Linked DNA regions of Schizosaccharomyces pombe. Changing the gene in region 3 together with the main gene of any one other region gives a genetic interaction. Each region holds a gene or a part of one and is shown on either strand. Other genes may lie near its edges.

Region 1 (3,598 bases), 3.1 Mb from region 3:
TTCAATGGTAATAAACTGAAACCAGCGACTTCTCCATCATTAATTCTTGGGATAACAAGATCATCAACAGGTAAATCGAATACATATTGTAACTCGGGCTGAATCCAATGCCTTTTCTCCATTTTGATGTAGGAGACAGTGCCACAAGGAATAAGATTCATAGAAGAAACGTCCAAATTAGCTTCTTCAGAAAATTCCTTTATCATAGTGCCTATGACTGAATCACCATGAGCAATTCCGCCGGCAACGCTATTATCTAAATAATTGGGCCACGTTTGTTTAGTCGGTGATCTTCGTGGTACCCAAATACGAAGAGGATGTTCTTTAGTTGCTGGAATATACATGGTACAATGCACACCAGTGCTCAAAAAACCGAATAACCAAAATCCGCCCCGTTCAACGGCCAATACAGGCTTTTTAGATTTTCCATAAACAGTATATAATTCATTCCTCCATTGATCAGCAATTCCAAATGTATTGTTATGGCGCCAATGCTCCAGTACCTTAGCTAAGATGTCAGTTCTTTTTTCAAAAGTAGATGCGTTTATTTCAATATACTCTCCTGGAACATAAACCCAATTGAATTTGAAATTATCCGCCTTTATGAGGATTTCTAGTACCAAAGGGGTAACATATCCAATGGCAGCGCCATTTGCACGGAAGGGAATTGTTCCAGGAACAAATTCCCCATTAAAAGAATCGCATTCATCTAAAAGCTCTTCGGCATTTAATTGTTTAGCAGAGGTGATAGACGACATTGCCATTACCTTGCCCAAATTTTCCTCTCAAATGGATAGTGTTCTAAAATAAAACAGGAATAAAAAAGGCTAGTGTATTTATGCGAAGGAGACACTTATGGTTCAATTCAACATAAATAGAATAATATATAAAACACCCTATACTAGCAAATGGTAAAAGCTCAAGGAAACTGGTTCCTGGTAGTAGAAATCGGGTAGTTGACTAAAACCTTATCGTATAACGAAATGCTAATCTATTAAACCCCTTTCAAAATGATCTTTAAAAACAAAAAAGAAGTTGATATTAAACAAACAGTACCTTAATCAAGGTAATCTAGTAATTGTCTTTCAAGAGTGTGGTCTACGAGGAAAATTACAATGGGAGCAGAACTCCGTGCCAGGAATGTCTTGGTATTAAAAATAATAGCACACAGATTGGCTTACTAATTTTCACTTTAACACCAACCGCCGTTTTTGTAATTAATTAGGGTTTGGTATAGTTAAGCGTATCTTTCACATGATTTTTATTTTCAGTGGACTTCCTTCGTAAGTTTTTTAATAATAATTCCTGAAGTGATTGATAATTTTTCCGCTAAACGTATCAAATCTGGTTGTATAATAGTTATCGACTACAGCTATAACTTGCTGCTCAAACAATTTCATGTAAAGAACATCTGCCTACAGAAAAGCTAGCATAGAAAGTTCCTTCTTTTTTACGTCTCATAAGACGTCAATGCTTGGGATTACTCCAACATATTTACATGTATAAAAGCATGGATAATGACACTAAAAAAAAAATCGAAGGGAATAGAAAGAAAAAAAAAATCTTATACTTTTCTCACGCTTTTCTGCATCTCCGTTATATTTAAAATAATCCAAGTCACCGAAATGTTAACATAGTAGTACATCTGGTTATATTGTTGAGATAGCAATATGCTATGTTCCCTTTGCCAATTTCAACTCTAGAACAGTACATTAACAAAACAACGAATCTGAACTTTTTTTATAAAAACAAATTGTCCTTGGTTTAGCTACTGGCAGATAATTAAATTCTATTGCGTTGTTTTAAAATGAGTGTTAACAATGAAGTATCCGCTGATCAACATAACCCTGAACTAGAGGATGATACATTTGAGCATGGACCTCCGGTTTCTCTGGGAGAAAAGAAATCACTTAATGAATATATGAAGATGGATGCCGAAGATGAATCATTGCAGAAATGGAAAGCATCTCTGGGTATCACGGGAACAGGTTATTCACCCTCGAATGATCGTAGAACAGTTGTTATTTTAAAGCTGAGTTTACTTGTTGACGGCCGTGACCCAGTTGATGTTAACATGGAAGATGCAGCAAGTGTCGAACAAATCCGCAAGAAAGGGTTCACTATTAAGGAAGGAAGCGAGTTTAAGATTGGTGTTAAATTTCGTGTACAACACGAAGTAATTTCAGGCTTAAGATATGTCCAAACTGTTCGCAGACGTGGCTTTGTTGTTGACAAAACATCTACCATGATTGGCTCCTATGGACCTTCTGAAACACCTTATGATTTTACCTCTGAACCAGATGAGGCACCTACAGGTATGCTGGCTCGCGGACATTATGAAGCCAATGGAAAGTTTGTTGATGATGATAAAGTGGTCCATCATGAATTTGTTTGGGCTTTTGACGTTGCAAAAAGCTGGAAGTAGTCATTATTTATGCCAGCCTTATTTTTTAAAATCGTAAATTTCAAATCTACTTGGTTATTCAAAATTCTCGGTATTCAGTACTATAAAGAAATTTATAGTGATGTTTTGTTACAAAGCAAACATTTTCCTTTTTCTTACCAATTTCTTTCACATATCGGTGTCTGGACTACAATTGAATATGGTAATGACGATTTCTTACCACCTTCTTCAGTGAAACTTTACTTCACCCAAATATCTCGGATTGTTTGGAGATTGCCTTTTGTTGTGCAAATTACTTTTATAGCTTACATATGATCTTCACATATTCCCCTTTAGCAATCTACGTTGTTTCTTTTAAATCTCGTTCCAAAGCTTACAAATGCGATATTTTGGAAGGATATATACATCCGACTATATTCTTTTCACTGAAATTATGAGTTTTGAGATTTTGATTAAATTTTTCCAAGTATCTTATACTTTTCCACTTTTCCTTGTTGTCACCAAAGAAGTACATAGAAAACAATACAAATAGCTATTAACTAGCCTGATTAGTCCCTTTGATGGGAATTACTAGAATACTATTGTAACGGTAATAACTCATTCTTAAACTCATTTCAACGTATCTCGCTCGACTTTGAGAAAATCCTACATAGTGCTTGAAACTTAACTTTTTATTTTAATACTTCACACTGATTAAAAGATTGATTAATGAATCCTAAACCCATAAAAAGTTATTGAGCGCAAAGCTACTGTCTTAATATAGTTTTACTGCAGTAGAATAGAGACATCGTTAACTTGGTTTCTTGGTATCACACTTTTTCTTTCACTAATTCTTTGCACATCATTTGCTAGACTCTCATCTTTCACCTACTTGGTTTGGTGTAATCCGTTCCTATTCCTAACGTATTATAGATTTCCACTAAGTAGTCTGGAAATCTCGTTGTTTTAACAGCCAGCTGTCGTTAAAAATCATCTTTTATTTTTTGATAAATATGAGGCGATCAGTTATTATTGGATCCTTGCTTGCTACTGCCGCTGTTGGTAAGTTTCTAAATTTTGAAAAAGCATTGTTATGATGATTAGATTTTTGAGATAAGCGGGCGTTTGTTTTCTCTTTTTGATCTTGAAAATAGAAGTACTGTATTTCAGTCGAGATTTTATTGATAGGGTTAAACATTGATCTTGTTCAATAAG
Region 2 (3,024 bases), on a different chromosome or scaffold from region 3:
AACATCCACTTCTTTAGCATTCATGTCTAATTGCATTTGCAATCGAAGCCAAAAAGCAGAGAGAGCAGAAAATTCAATTTCTAAATCCCTTAAGTTTGCTTCGTCTACATTTTGAGCAGCAAAACCAAGACACCGACTAATCAACCGTTTCAAAGGCCGTTCTTCCACAGTTAAGCGCGATCGAATCGCCGTCTCTGACATATCGGTTAACTTAATATTTTCAAAAAAAAAATTATTTATAGCATACCCTCCATAATGAATTGAGTAAAAAAAAAGCAAATTCACTATACAATTTAGTTGGGCGCTAAGTCAGTAGCTGGAGTGTTCGGAGTTTTAGTCACCGTATTTTACCGATGTTTACCGGCAAAAAGTTATTAGTACGATTATTACCTAAGAAATGTAAAAACGCTAACAAGGATTGCAGTTTGATATTGCTATAGAACAGGCGGGCAAAATGATTTTACCTCTTTTTCCAGAGACACAAGTTCATGTTTTTGTATATGAAAATGTTTCTAACTGTGCTGCGATTCATGAACAACTAATAAGCCAGAATCCCATTTATGACTATGCGTTTCTCGATGCCGCTACTATTCTATATAAAAAGCAGGTTTATAGCGCTATTATTAGGGCTCTCGAAGATAGAAGGGACGAACAAATGAAAACTAAGACGATTCACTCAGAGGTTATTTTGTCATTGTCCCCAAAAACCGAAATTTCTAGTGCGTTCCGACAATTCAGCATGACAAAAAAATCTAAAAACATTGTAGTGGTAAAAATTGATAGCAAACTTACAGAAGAAGAAGAATTTGAGCGCTTGGACAAACTTGTGGAAGGTAATAGGGTCGAATTTTCTGACGAAGAGTTACAAAAATTAATAGACTTCAAGGTGTTAAAAAAGAATTACAAATTGGATCCCTCTACGCTTGAGAATCCTTTGGCCTCTATATTATCTTCGATAGCTCTACGTGGTTATTCTTAAAAACATATGTTCTAGCAAATCTGATCTTTTGTCAATGTTTCACAATTGATTTGACTATTTTTCTATGCGGCTTGAATGATAATGATGAGAGTTCCAAATGGAACGTTGTGTGGATTCTTCTATTCCTTATAATTTTTTCCTCTCTCAAATGACTGTACAAACTATTTAGCAAGCACCTACATAATCAATTTTTGATTTACGAATTGGTAAAGGATGGCACGTAAAGTTATGCCCTCTGGTTTGGTTCAGTTTTATGATCTCTTGACAGTTTTACTAAAGTAACTAAGGGCATTTCATTACGATTATCTGTTTCGATACTTTTACCTAGGGAATGCTTTAGTGTTATTTGACATCATGTTTTGTTCTTGTGCAATATTTTTTGCTCAGGTCTATTGGCGATGAATTACTATATGGTGGATCTCAGTGCAAAAAGTTTACCATTATGTGAATAGTTATTAAAAGTTTAATGGGATTATAAATTAATGGGTTTTTTATTGCGCACCTTATGCTCCTGTTATAAAGAAAAGCAGGTCGCAAAGGTAAGAACTATTTTTATACAACAATAAAGGTTTTTACATCGTATGTTTTACAATTAACTGGCAGCTCTTTGTCAAAATTGTTTATTTACGGATTTAACTTGCCTTCTTGCGGTATTGACTGCTAAGCCGGAATTTGTGATATCAAGCCATCCGTTTCCCAGTCACGCGAAAACTCTTCCTTATGGAAATTTCATTTTAACAAGTACAAATCTGTTAAAACTACATTCATATAATCATATGCAGGCAGCCGATTAGAGAAAAACTAAATTTCTTAGGCAGAATTGTCATTATCCGTCAATACCGCGTTTTTTTTATTTTCCGCTTTGATTTTTTTTATCATTCTTTTTGGTTCTTTTATTTTTGTTTTTATTTGTTTTGTTTTCTTTTTTTCCTTTTCAAAAGTCATTTGAAGACAAAAACTCAACGTTGAAGAGAGCATTTGTTCATCTGTTGACTTTTCGCCAATACACCTGTTTTTTTATGGACTTGCTAAGTATAGTGTAAATTTAACGCTGTCGTTGATCCGTATGATTTCTTTTGATTAATTTAAATCGTTATATGTGACACTAGCAATTTTTGCTTCATGGCGGAAGAGACTGAAGAGGATTATTTAGTTGTGGGTCGTGATTACTTGTACCCCCCAGATCATGAACTGCACTATGGGTTTCATGCTCGTGTGATTGAAGAGGAGGAGGAGCGATTTGTAGATGATACCTTTGATGAAACAATCGAAGGATCGGATGACTCCGAATCAATAGATGATACGGAAGTATTTTACGATGCTGAAGAATCTGAAAGCACTCACCCTTCTGCTTCTTTCAACGTCCTTGCTGACGCCGTTGCGCTTTATGATTTCGAGCCCCTCCATGATAATGAACTCGGTTTTACTACTGGTCAGAGACTTTGTATTTTGTCGGAATCCAGCGATGGTTGGTTGATTGCATACGATGATGCCTCAGGAAGAAGCGGGCTTGTTCCTGAGACGTTTGTTAAATTAGAGGTATAAAAGAGCGTTGAATTGAACCCTTTTTACTTTTTCTTTTTGTCAAATTGATTTTAAAATGTTATTCCTTATTTTATGTTCCAAGATTTTCTGGATCCTCTCCTTTATATATAAGAATCCGAAGTGTTACGGGAAAAAAATTCGGATTGTCACGCTTCTTATGAATATTATTTAAATGTACGCCTTTAAAGCAACTATCATACAATTCTCCTTTGGGTAAATAACTAACCTTGGGATGTGTCGTAACTTGGGACTTATTTTTGATTTGTTATAAGGATGAAATGAATGTTCTATCTTATGGACCTTACAAGAAAAACTATAATATTGTCAAATATAATCATATGAGATGAGTTAAGCTACATAAAACTCTTTGAAACTTTATTTTATATTATTGCAACCTTCTAATAACTTTACATCTTCTTATCCAAAGAAGAAGGGTTAGAATGTACCGTGTTTTACGGAAGTTCCATTCCCGTAGGGTTACAATGTGTTGCTAGAATAAA
Region 3 (8,912 bases):
TTTAAAATAAGATCAATTGTGATTTTAGCAAATTAATCACTTGATGATACAATTTGCTATTTATTTTTTTAGTACTAAGTCTGAATTGATTACTTCAACTCATGGCGTAAGCCAAAATCTGTGAGTTAGATAAATTGAAGTAAGTAAACAGCAGGCTACAATTTGCAGTTATTAAAATTAAAATAAAACAAACGAAATAATTAAAATATTTATGTACACAAATCTTAACAGAACTAGATAAATTGCCTTCTTTGAAGGTACTTTTTAATCTGTCCAAGTACGATTTCCCCAAGGAATAGATTGGGTAGATGCATTAGGAGTAAATGCGCCCAGCGCAACGCCCCATGGACTTTCGGGAATAAGACTTTTATTGGAAGTCGACCGAGATATTTTCCAGGTGTTTTGATTAAACGCGTTTAACAACTCATAATTATTAGGATTACTAGATTCATCTCGTGACAGACCAGAAGTGGTTGAATTAGAAGCTGTGATAACAGAATCTGTTTTGTCATCTAATAGTGCACGACTACCCATCCTTTCCTCTGTGTTGGACAAATTATTCTTCAGCTTAGGAGAACTCCCTTGACTAGGACGACAAATAGGAGATAGCTTATTTCGGATAGATGGTGACAGTGAGAAGTTATACTGCTCATGTCCTTGTTGATTTAAGACGCCTTCCTTGGATAACGGGGATTTCAAACTTGAGGACGATAAAGGGGAACTAGACGGCTCGTTCAAAACTCTATTTACTAGAGGACTTAATTGTGGACTTGAAAATGAATTAAGCAAAGCTGGTACGTTTGCTCCATTATTCAATGGATATTTATTAGCACGTTGAGAAGGAGGTGTTGCAAAAGGATAATGATGCACCGGTGAATTGGCTCTACTAAGAGAATGCCGAGCATTTGGATTTAATCCAAAATTGTTGGAATTACTTAGGAGTGAAGATGGAGAATGTAAACCATTTGGCTTTCTACCAAAATCAGTTAAGTTTACGGAATTATTAAGTGTTCTATTTAAAGGATTAGGCTCAAGAGAAATTAAAGGGTTGACGGAATTAAAAGATGAAAATAACGAAGAATTAAGCAGATTAGAAGAAGCATTGCGCTCCGATAAATTATTTGTGTTCTTAAGGCCTATGGGAGCTTGCCGCAAAGCATTAGGTACAGAATCTAGGAGATGTGAAGAAAGCTTATCCTCATCGTTTACGAGATCGCCTTTTTTTTCAAAAAGGCCAAGTTGAGAAGAAGTAGTACAACCATCAGAACCCTCTTTAGTCTGATTAGGTGCAAAGAAAGCAGCGATCTTAGCTTCTCTTAATCTCCTTTCTTTCTCTTCTGATTCTTTTTCAAGTAACTCACGACGCCGACGTTCCTCTTCTTCTTTGTCTAATTTTTCCCTTCGCTTCCTTTCTTCCAAAATACGTTTTTCTTCTTCTTCTCTTAGTCGTTGTTCTCTCGCCATTTTTTCACGGTCAGCCTCTTGTTGCTGCTTCTTCAGTTTCTTCTCTCTTTCCTTCTGCTTTTGCTTTTCCTCTCTTTTCTGACGCTCAAGTTCTTGCTGCTTTTTCTCCTGCTCACGCTTCAAACGTTGCTCTTCCCGTTTCTTGCGAGCTTCTTCCTGTCTTTTAGCTTCCAATGCTTTTTGAGCAGCCTGTTCAGCAAGACGCTCAGCTTCGCGTCTTTGACGCTCTTCCTCCTTCGCCAATTTCAATTGCTTCTTTTTATCCCTCTTTTTCTCCTTCTCTCTTATTTTTTTGAGCTCACGTTCCTGTTTGCGTTTGTTCTCCTCCTCAATCTCTTCTAAAAGTTTAGCTTGCCGTTGTTGAGCAACTTTCTCACGATAAGCTTGCAACACACGTTGCTCAAATAAACGGGCAGCAAAAATTTGGAACATCCTGCGTCCTTCTTCCATCCTTTGTTCATCGGTCATTAGATCTAACTCGTCCTCATCTACATCTTCTTCGTCTTCTTCTTCATCTTCGTCATATTCCAACCCGCTTTCGTATAACTCTGGTTCGTGAAAATTGCTATTATCTTCACGCTGCATACGACGCTCAGCTAACTGTTCCATCATTTCTATAAACTTCTTCCCATCATTCTTCAATAGGTCATCCGCTACCGTTAAGATACCTCCTTTCACCGTTAAACTACTCCCGAAGTTATAAAGATCAGAATGATAGCTATTTTTCTCATCTGCTTTAGAGGGATAAGGAGGCTGAAAAGGAGGCTGTGTTTGAGGGGAATGTGAAGTGTCTTCCAATGTCTGATTTCCGTTGCTTATAGAAGTGACGAATTCTTGATTATCCACGTTTTTTTCCTCCAAGCTAGTAGTTTCAATGACTTCTTCATCAACATCAGCATTTGAAGAATTCAACTCGTCTTGGGTTATATCATCATTGAGAGATTTTGATGGTACGTTGTTCAGAGGAATCGATAAAAGCTTAGGTGAATCGGAGATGATTCCTTTCTGGGACTTGTCTGAACCTTCGTCTGAAGCGTTTACAGACTCGGTATTTGCAAGGTTACGTTGAATATTAGCATATTGTTCTAATTCTTCATAGTAAGCATCATACAGTACTTCCAACTCTTCCTCAATTGCTAAACGTTTCCTTCCACACACCGAACAAGAGCATGAGTATTTTTGTTGCTCTTTCATTTTTTGCAAAACAGCTTCTTTTTCGACTTTAACTAACGACCTGCGTTCACTTTCACTTAAGGAAAGCCAAAATTCCCGAATTTGCTCCCGCTCCTCAGTATTCGAACTGCTCCAAATATCTTTGGATTTATTATTGTTAACGTTATTATTCATACTGGCTTGACGCACAGAACCGTTGTAATAAGAAAGCGCTTGCCCATTCCTATAAGTAATAGCAACGTCCGTAGAATAAACTTGTTCAAAATCTCTTTGATCATCCACATTCAACGATGCACTATTTGCTTTTGACTTCTTCTTCTTTTTCTTTTTCCGTTTAGATGAAGTTGACGAACCTAACGCTACTGTATTCAAATTCATATTATTTTGAACGGAGTTCGGTGACATATTGGACGACGTCGCGTCTTCCAAACCAGGTATATGAACTGGAAACTCGGCTTCATCCACGAAACTGGAGGTAGAAAGAATACATTGGGGAGAATGTTCTATGGTATCGTCAGATTCAAGAGTGAATTGCCAATCCGTCGAAGATATTCCTTCGACGTTAATCAACGATGAATCATCACCATTTGCCGAGACCAGCTGCGGATGAGAAATACGAGAATTCAAATTTGAAAGTTCCAAAGACGCTTGATGATCTATGACACCATTATTCGCGCCAACGTCTGTAACTGCAGAATCGGTCCCTGCCGACCCAAGCAAATCCACGTTTGCTTGAGTCTCGACATTTTTCTTGGCTTTCGGTTTTTTCTTCTTTTTATTCTTTTTCTTTGTACCAGAGTTGGGAATAGGTATAAGAAGATCCTTGAAACTTGGAGGTTCTAACCCTACACTGAGTGCTTCGGTGCGAAGAGCTTTATCATTCATGTTTTCTTTTTAAAAATCGCCTACCAACAACGCCTCTTTTTTTATGAGCTTAAAATATGAAACTAACGATTTAAAAAAAAAATAATTTAAATTATTTTTTTTATTCAAATTGTAGCTCACGGGTCTGCGTTGGCAATGTTTTAAGGGTAATCCCTAAAATTCTTAAATGCCGAACTGCCCACCTTTTCTTAGTTCAATATTCAAAAACAGTATACCCCAAAGTACTTGAAATAGTATATCTTCTTAGGGATTTCAACCCAGATGATCCAAATCACAAAGATTTTTGGATTTAACTAGTTCAATTGCTGCTTTGCAGAATGTGGTGAATAAAGCCAAACGGCAAATGGCGTTTTATCATATTTAATGCATCTTAACGTGCAAAATTAGTTCTTTAAGGCATGTTAAGGTGCAATAAGGAAGCGTACGATTCCAATAAATTGAATTTACGATACTTAACACCAAAAGTGTCTATAATCCGCATGGGATAAATGTCACCAAAACCACATTTCTTGAACAAATACTCTTTGAGAAGCTAATTTTTGTGCATATACTACTTTTCGTTGCTCTAATTGAAAGGCTTGGACGTTTGGCTAATCGCTTCATTTGACTATTTCGACAATCGCTTACTCATTTCTTATATTTCAAAAATTCACACCTATTTGGTTTAATTTTTACAGCTTTTCGAACCGGGAAATTTTGGTTGTCTGATCTGCAGTGAATCATTCTTTAAGAAAAATTTGCATAGAAAAAACCTCATACAGTGTTTAATCCGCTCCCTATTAAAAAGTACATGTTGCAATCTCAACCGATTAGAAGGTACGATTCTATGGCCTAATATCTTTTTGCTTCTTTTATTTCTTCTACTCAAATTCATTTTCTTTAAATATTAATATTTTTAAGGAAACTAGTAGTTGTAGGCGATGGTGCCTGCGGGAAGACGTCTTTGTTATCCGTTTTCACTTTGGGATATTTTCCTACTGTAAGTACAGATGTCATAAAAGTGAGCTTTGGCTTATCGCATATTGCACGATACGCAAATACTTATTGTCTTTTCTACCTTATTTATTTATTTATTTACTAACTTACTGGCGATAGGAATATGTAATGCTTTTTTCTCTTTATTTCGTAGAGTTTTTTAATAACAGTTACTATAGGTTCCGACTGTGTTTGAAAACTATGTTTCAGATTGTCGAGTATGTGTGATTAACAAGTTATTGAGCTTTTTCAGTTGGTTACAGAAAGTTACTTTCCCACTGGTCCCTTTTCTTTGGGTTTTGCTAATACATTTGATACTAACTAAAATAGGTTGATGGAAAATCAGTTCAACTGGCATTGTGGGATACCGCGTAAGTACTTTTTTTTCTGATGTTAAAACTATATGTTATGTATTCCTGCATACTAATTCTTGTTTTAGAGGTCAAGAGGAATATGAGGTTTGTTTCGTTATTAATAGTGAGAAATACGTCGTTAACCCAATGCAGAGATTAAGACCAATGTCTTACGCTAAAGCACACATTATTTTGGTTGGGTTTGCGATAGACTCTCCTGATTCACTTGAAAATGTTTCTACGAAGGTTCGTTTCATTAATTGTTTTTTCCAGTCATTAACATTATATAGTGGATTGAGGAAATTAATACACTTTGCCCAAATGTTCCGTTTATTTTAGTGGGCATGAAAGCCGACTTAAGGTCAGATCCCGTTGCTATTGAAGAAATGCGACGTCGAAATCAAAATTTTGTAAAATCACAACAGGTATATATTAATAATTCAAACACGTGAATACTAATTCTTGATATCAGGCTGAATTAGTAGCTCAGCGGATTGGTGCGAGAAAGTATATGGAATGTTCTTCATTGACTGGTGACGGCGTGGACGATGTATTTGAAGCTGCTACTAGGGCAGCACTAACAGTTCGGGATTCGGAAAATGACAAGAGTTCTACAAAATGCTGCATCATTTCATAATTACTAATATCCTAACGATTGCAAACATTCATGTTTCAGTTTATAGGAAAGCCTATCAGTTTATGCGACCTACATTTACAAAAAGCTGATAGACTTTTTTGCTTTTCTTCGCATTTGTTCTTTGCCGTTGTTTCATTTCGTTTTCACTTTCACTTCTGTCGTTTACTTTTTTCTTTTTCTCCCCTATACCTCAAATTTAGTTCCTATTTTATTTTGAGACTCAGGAGTATTATTATTATTTTCATCATTATAATCTTCACGCATCGGTCGAACGACACTAGCCTCCTTTTTCATTTCATTAAGCAAACCGCATTCAGTTATTATTACCTTTTTTTTTTACTCTTAAACATCTTTCATTCTTTTTCAGCATCTATTGTCCTCATGAAAACTACTTTTTGTTTAAAAGATCATAGGACTTTATTTTTAGAACTGCCGCTTGCGCTCATTATGAAGTACAAAATTCATATATGTACATATGCTTTTGTTCTCTTAGGCTAATAGAAAATGTCAGTTTTCCTTATTGATACATTTAATACGTAGGCTCACTTCGCTAAGTAATTTTATGGGGCGGTCAAATTCAAAATTCTGGCTCATTTAAGCTAAATATTAAGACACCGCCAAAGGTATACAACCATATCAAAATTTATCACCTACTAAAGTTTCGAGCCTATTTTTTTCTGGGCATTAATGGGTTGGAAATCAAGACTGGCAAGAGTTAAAGTGGTCACTCTCATCAAACAACTATGTGAAATTATATACCCTTTAAACACCCATACTCCAACAACTAACTTTTCTTCGGGCGTTCACTTCATTAAGAACAACAACCAAAAAAAAACAACCAAAATCCATCCAAATGATAAAGAATGACAAATACGCGGCAAAAATCCGGAACTACACTAAAAATTACACATTCCTTTCATTCTTGATCGTAAGAAAGGAAATCGCCAATAAAGAGAGATAAATTCATACTCAAATACATCACAGACAAAGGATATTAAGACCACAGACATATGACAGGAAAATCTAGTAAGCAGACACTAAAAAATAGTTTACCAAAGGAAAAATTTCTATGTTTACCATTCAGCAGCGACCTGTCCTTCAGCGCTACCGTTACCTACATCAGAATGGTTTTGCAAAGGCTGTTGTTCTTCCGAAGCAGCAGGTTTGTCATATGATTCAGTGGGAGCAGATGACTCCATTGATGCTTCAGGAGCAGCTGAATAGGATTTGGAACCTTCATAGGCAGGGGAGCGATTCTCTTCTCTATCACGTCTAGGAGAAGGACTACGGCTATAAGCGTCACGTCGATACTCATCATCATGGGAAGGGCGTCCATCATCACGAGAACGACGGTATTCGTCTCGTCCAGGGCGATATTCATCACCTCTAGGACGACGATACTCATCATCATGAGGACGACGATAATCACTTCTGGAATTACGTCTATACTCATCGCGACCACCACGACGGTATTCATCACGATTATTACGCCTGTATTCACCACGAGGAGCATAACGACGTTCATCATCTCTGCCGGGACGATAAGCGTCACGACGGTAATCGCCTCCTCTACGATAATCATCACGATAACGACGGCGAGCAGGTGGAGAACGTGAACGGAAGCGGGAGGGTACTTCGGGAAGGGGCTCATTAGCGGCATCCTGCTAATCGTTAGAAAATTTACGCAAGGATCTTTAAAAAAGATTAGATGCTTACAGGGTCTTCGCGTAAAGTAACTGCTTGGCCTTTAATGACTTCACCATTAAGGCTCGTCAAAGCGTTTCTCATATCCTCTTCAGTAGAAAATTCAACAACACTGCATTAAAGTTAGGTGAAAAAATGATCAAAGTAGAAACTTACCCAGCACCAGGGTTTTCACGGTGAGCATCTGTGAAAGTGGGTTCACCAGCTTTACGCATTACATCCTTCAGGTCCTATGAAAAGTGTTAACACTGAAATATAGATATATGAAAAAAATCATGCATTGACGCAAAGGTCATTAAATGTATAAAATTGTCTTACCTGCCAACTGACATCTTCTGAGAGATTTTCCACAATCAAACGGAAACCGGTGCGACGGGGACGGGGGTATCTGATACGTTAGTATAAAAATATTGCCGTAATTTTTATAGGACAATGCGATTTTGCAAGCGATAACACCGTATATAGTCACTACTCAGAGCTGATTCACATGTGAAGTGAACAAAATCGTTAGAACCAGCAATCGCGTGCAATGCCAAATCGCCCACTAATCACATATTAATGGAAACGTAACAACGTACTTAGAAGCAGCACTTTCTCTAAAGTTCTCTCTTCTTCTTCTTTCACCGCGAGCAGGTTCTACAACAATACTTCGAACATTAGCATATTTTAATCTAAATTCATAATGTATTGACTTACCGGCTGCCCATAAACTCTTTGCCCTCTTTTTTATAAGATTAGTAAATAAAGTCGAATATTAAACCTTTGAAGCATACGAAAGTCTAAACTGTTAGCAAAAGTTTTAAGATGGTATGAACGTACCATTTACGATATCACGAGCATCGCGAGCGTCTTCAACCTACATCAAGTTAGTCACATAGGGATTACAAAAAGAAGGCTAATGGTTTTATTTACCTCAACAAAGCCAAATCCATTCATCAGCTTGCAATCAAGGATTTGACCGTAACCTTTAAAAAAATCCATCATATCCTCGCGAGTCGCTAAATTTTTGTTAAAATACTATTTACATTATTTAGTTACAAACCTTGAGGAGGAATACGGCCAACAAACAATCTAGTCTCCGACATTTTTTTTTGGTGTAGTTGGTTCTTGCTGGGTGAAGTTCGACCCTCAGTCGGCAGTCTTGAGGCTGAAGGCCGGCGAAACCCAAGTTACAAAATATAAGATAATGAAATAAAATATAAAATCAAATTAAAAGAGATGGTGTTAATCAAACCTTGTCTAACGATTTTATGCATTCATCGGTCCACACTTTTTCCTAATATTGTATAAATGAAATCTGAGTAACTATCAACCATACTTCAGAGTGTCTATTGAAATGATTAAGAAGGTTAGATAATAATTAATTAATGGATCAAGATGGCGATGATAATTTCATCGACGGGATACTGTAAGTTTAATTAATCATGATTAAGGAGCTAGGATATCTAGTAGTCAAGATGCAACTTCAAGAAGTAACTGTTGTCTTTACAGTCATGTACGTAGGTTCTTATACGTATAATTTTCTTTTTCTATATTAATTATAAATAACTATAAAGTATTTTAGTAAACTTCAATGAATAATCCGAATTTGAGATAATGAAAACAAGTTTCTGCTCATTCACCAGTTCTCTATCTGGATGAAAAACTTTACGAAAATTTTGGAATTCTGAAAAGACTCTTGCCAGATGACACGCAATGTTTGCATTCGCCGACGCATAATG

Evidence for each region.
Region 1: of rho2 (region 3) and rdi1, changing one suppresses a phenotype caused by changing the other (phenotypic suppression), as found in Schizosaccharomyces pombe (one study listed by BioGRID).
Region 2: of rho2 (region 3) and skb5, extra expression of one rescues a mutant of the other (dosage rescue), as found in Schizosaccharomyces pombe (one study listed by BioGRID).

The regions. Positions count from the first base shown.
Region 1 is NC_003424.3:1,318,039-1,321,636, forward strand, and holds rdi1 (Rho GDP dissociation inhibitor Rdi1), read left to right. Parts: upstream 1-1,686; 5' UTR 1,687-1,807; coding exon 1,808-2,425; 3' UTR 2,426-3,098; downstream 3,099-3,598. Other genes in the region: tnr3 (thiamine diphosphokinase Tnr3/ Nudix hydrolase fusion protein), read right to left, coding at 1-764; TOM complex subunit Tom20, read left to right, coding at 3,397-3,445.
Region 2 is NC_003421.2:920,968-923,991, forward strand, and holds skb5 (Shk1 kinase-binding protein 5), read left to right. Parts: upstream 1-1,666; 5' UTR 1,667-2,101; coding exon 2,102-2,524; downstream 2,525-3,024. Other genes in the region: THO complex subunit Tho7, read right to left, coding at 1-194, 248-254; EKC/KEOPS complex subunit Cgi121, read left to right, coding at 455-979.
Region 3 is NC_003424.3:4,418,690-4,427,601, forward strand, and holds rho2 (Rho family GTPase Rho2), read left to right. Parts: upstream 1-4,001; 5' UTR 4,002-4,312; coding exon 4,313-4,338; intron 4,339-4,422; coding exon 4,423-4,501; intron 4,502-4,617; coding exon 4,618-4,623; intron 4,624-4,676; coding exon 4,677-4,715; intron 4,716-4,827; coding exon 4,828-4,868; intron 4,869-4,936; coding exon 4,937-4,955; exon of another isoform or gene 4,956-5,003; coding exon 5,004-5,096; exon of another isoform or gene 5,097-5,140; coding exon 5,141-5,275; exon of another isoform or gene 5,276-5,322; coding exon 5,323-5,487; 3' UTR 5,488-5,957; downstream 5,958-8,912. Other genes in the region: protein nst1, read right to left, coding at 265-3,522; srp2 (guard protein for 5'-capping of pre-mRNAs Srp2/Npl3), read right to left, coding at 6,561-7,148, 7,204-7,303, 7,348-7,421, 7,510-7,579, 7,770-7,838, 7,888-7,912, 7,965-7,970, 8,011-8,047 and 2 more. UniProt on the Schizosaccharomyces pombe protein: Involved in cell morphogenesis, the maintenance of growth direction, control of polarity and of cell wall integrity. Regulates the synthesis of alpha-D-glucan through activation of pck2.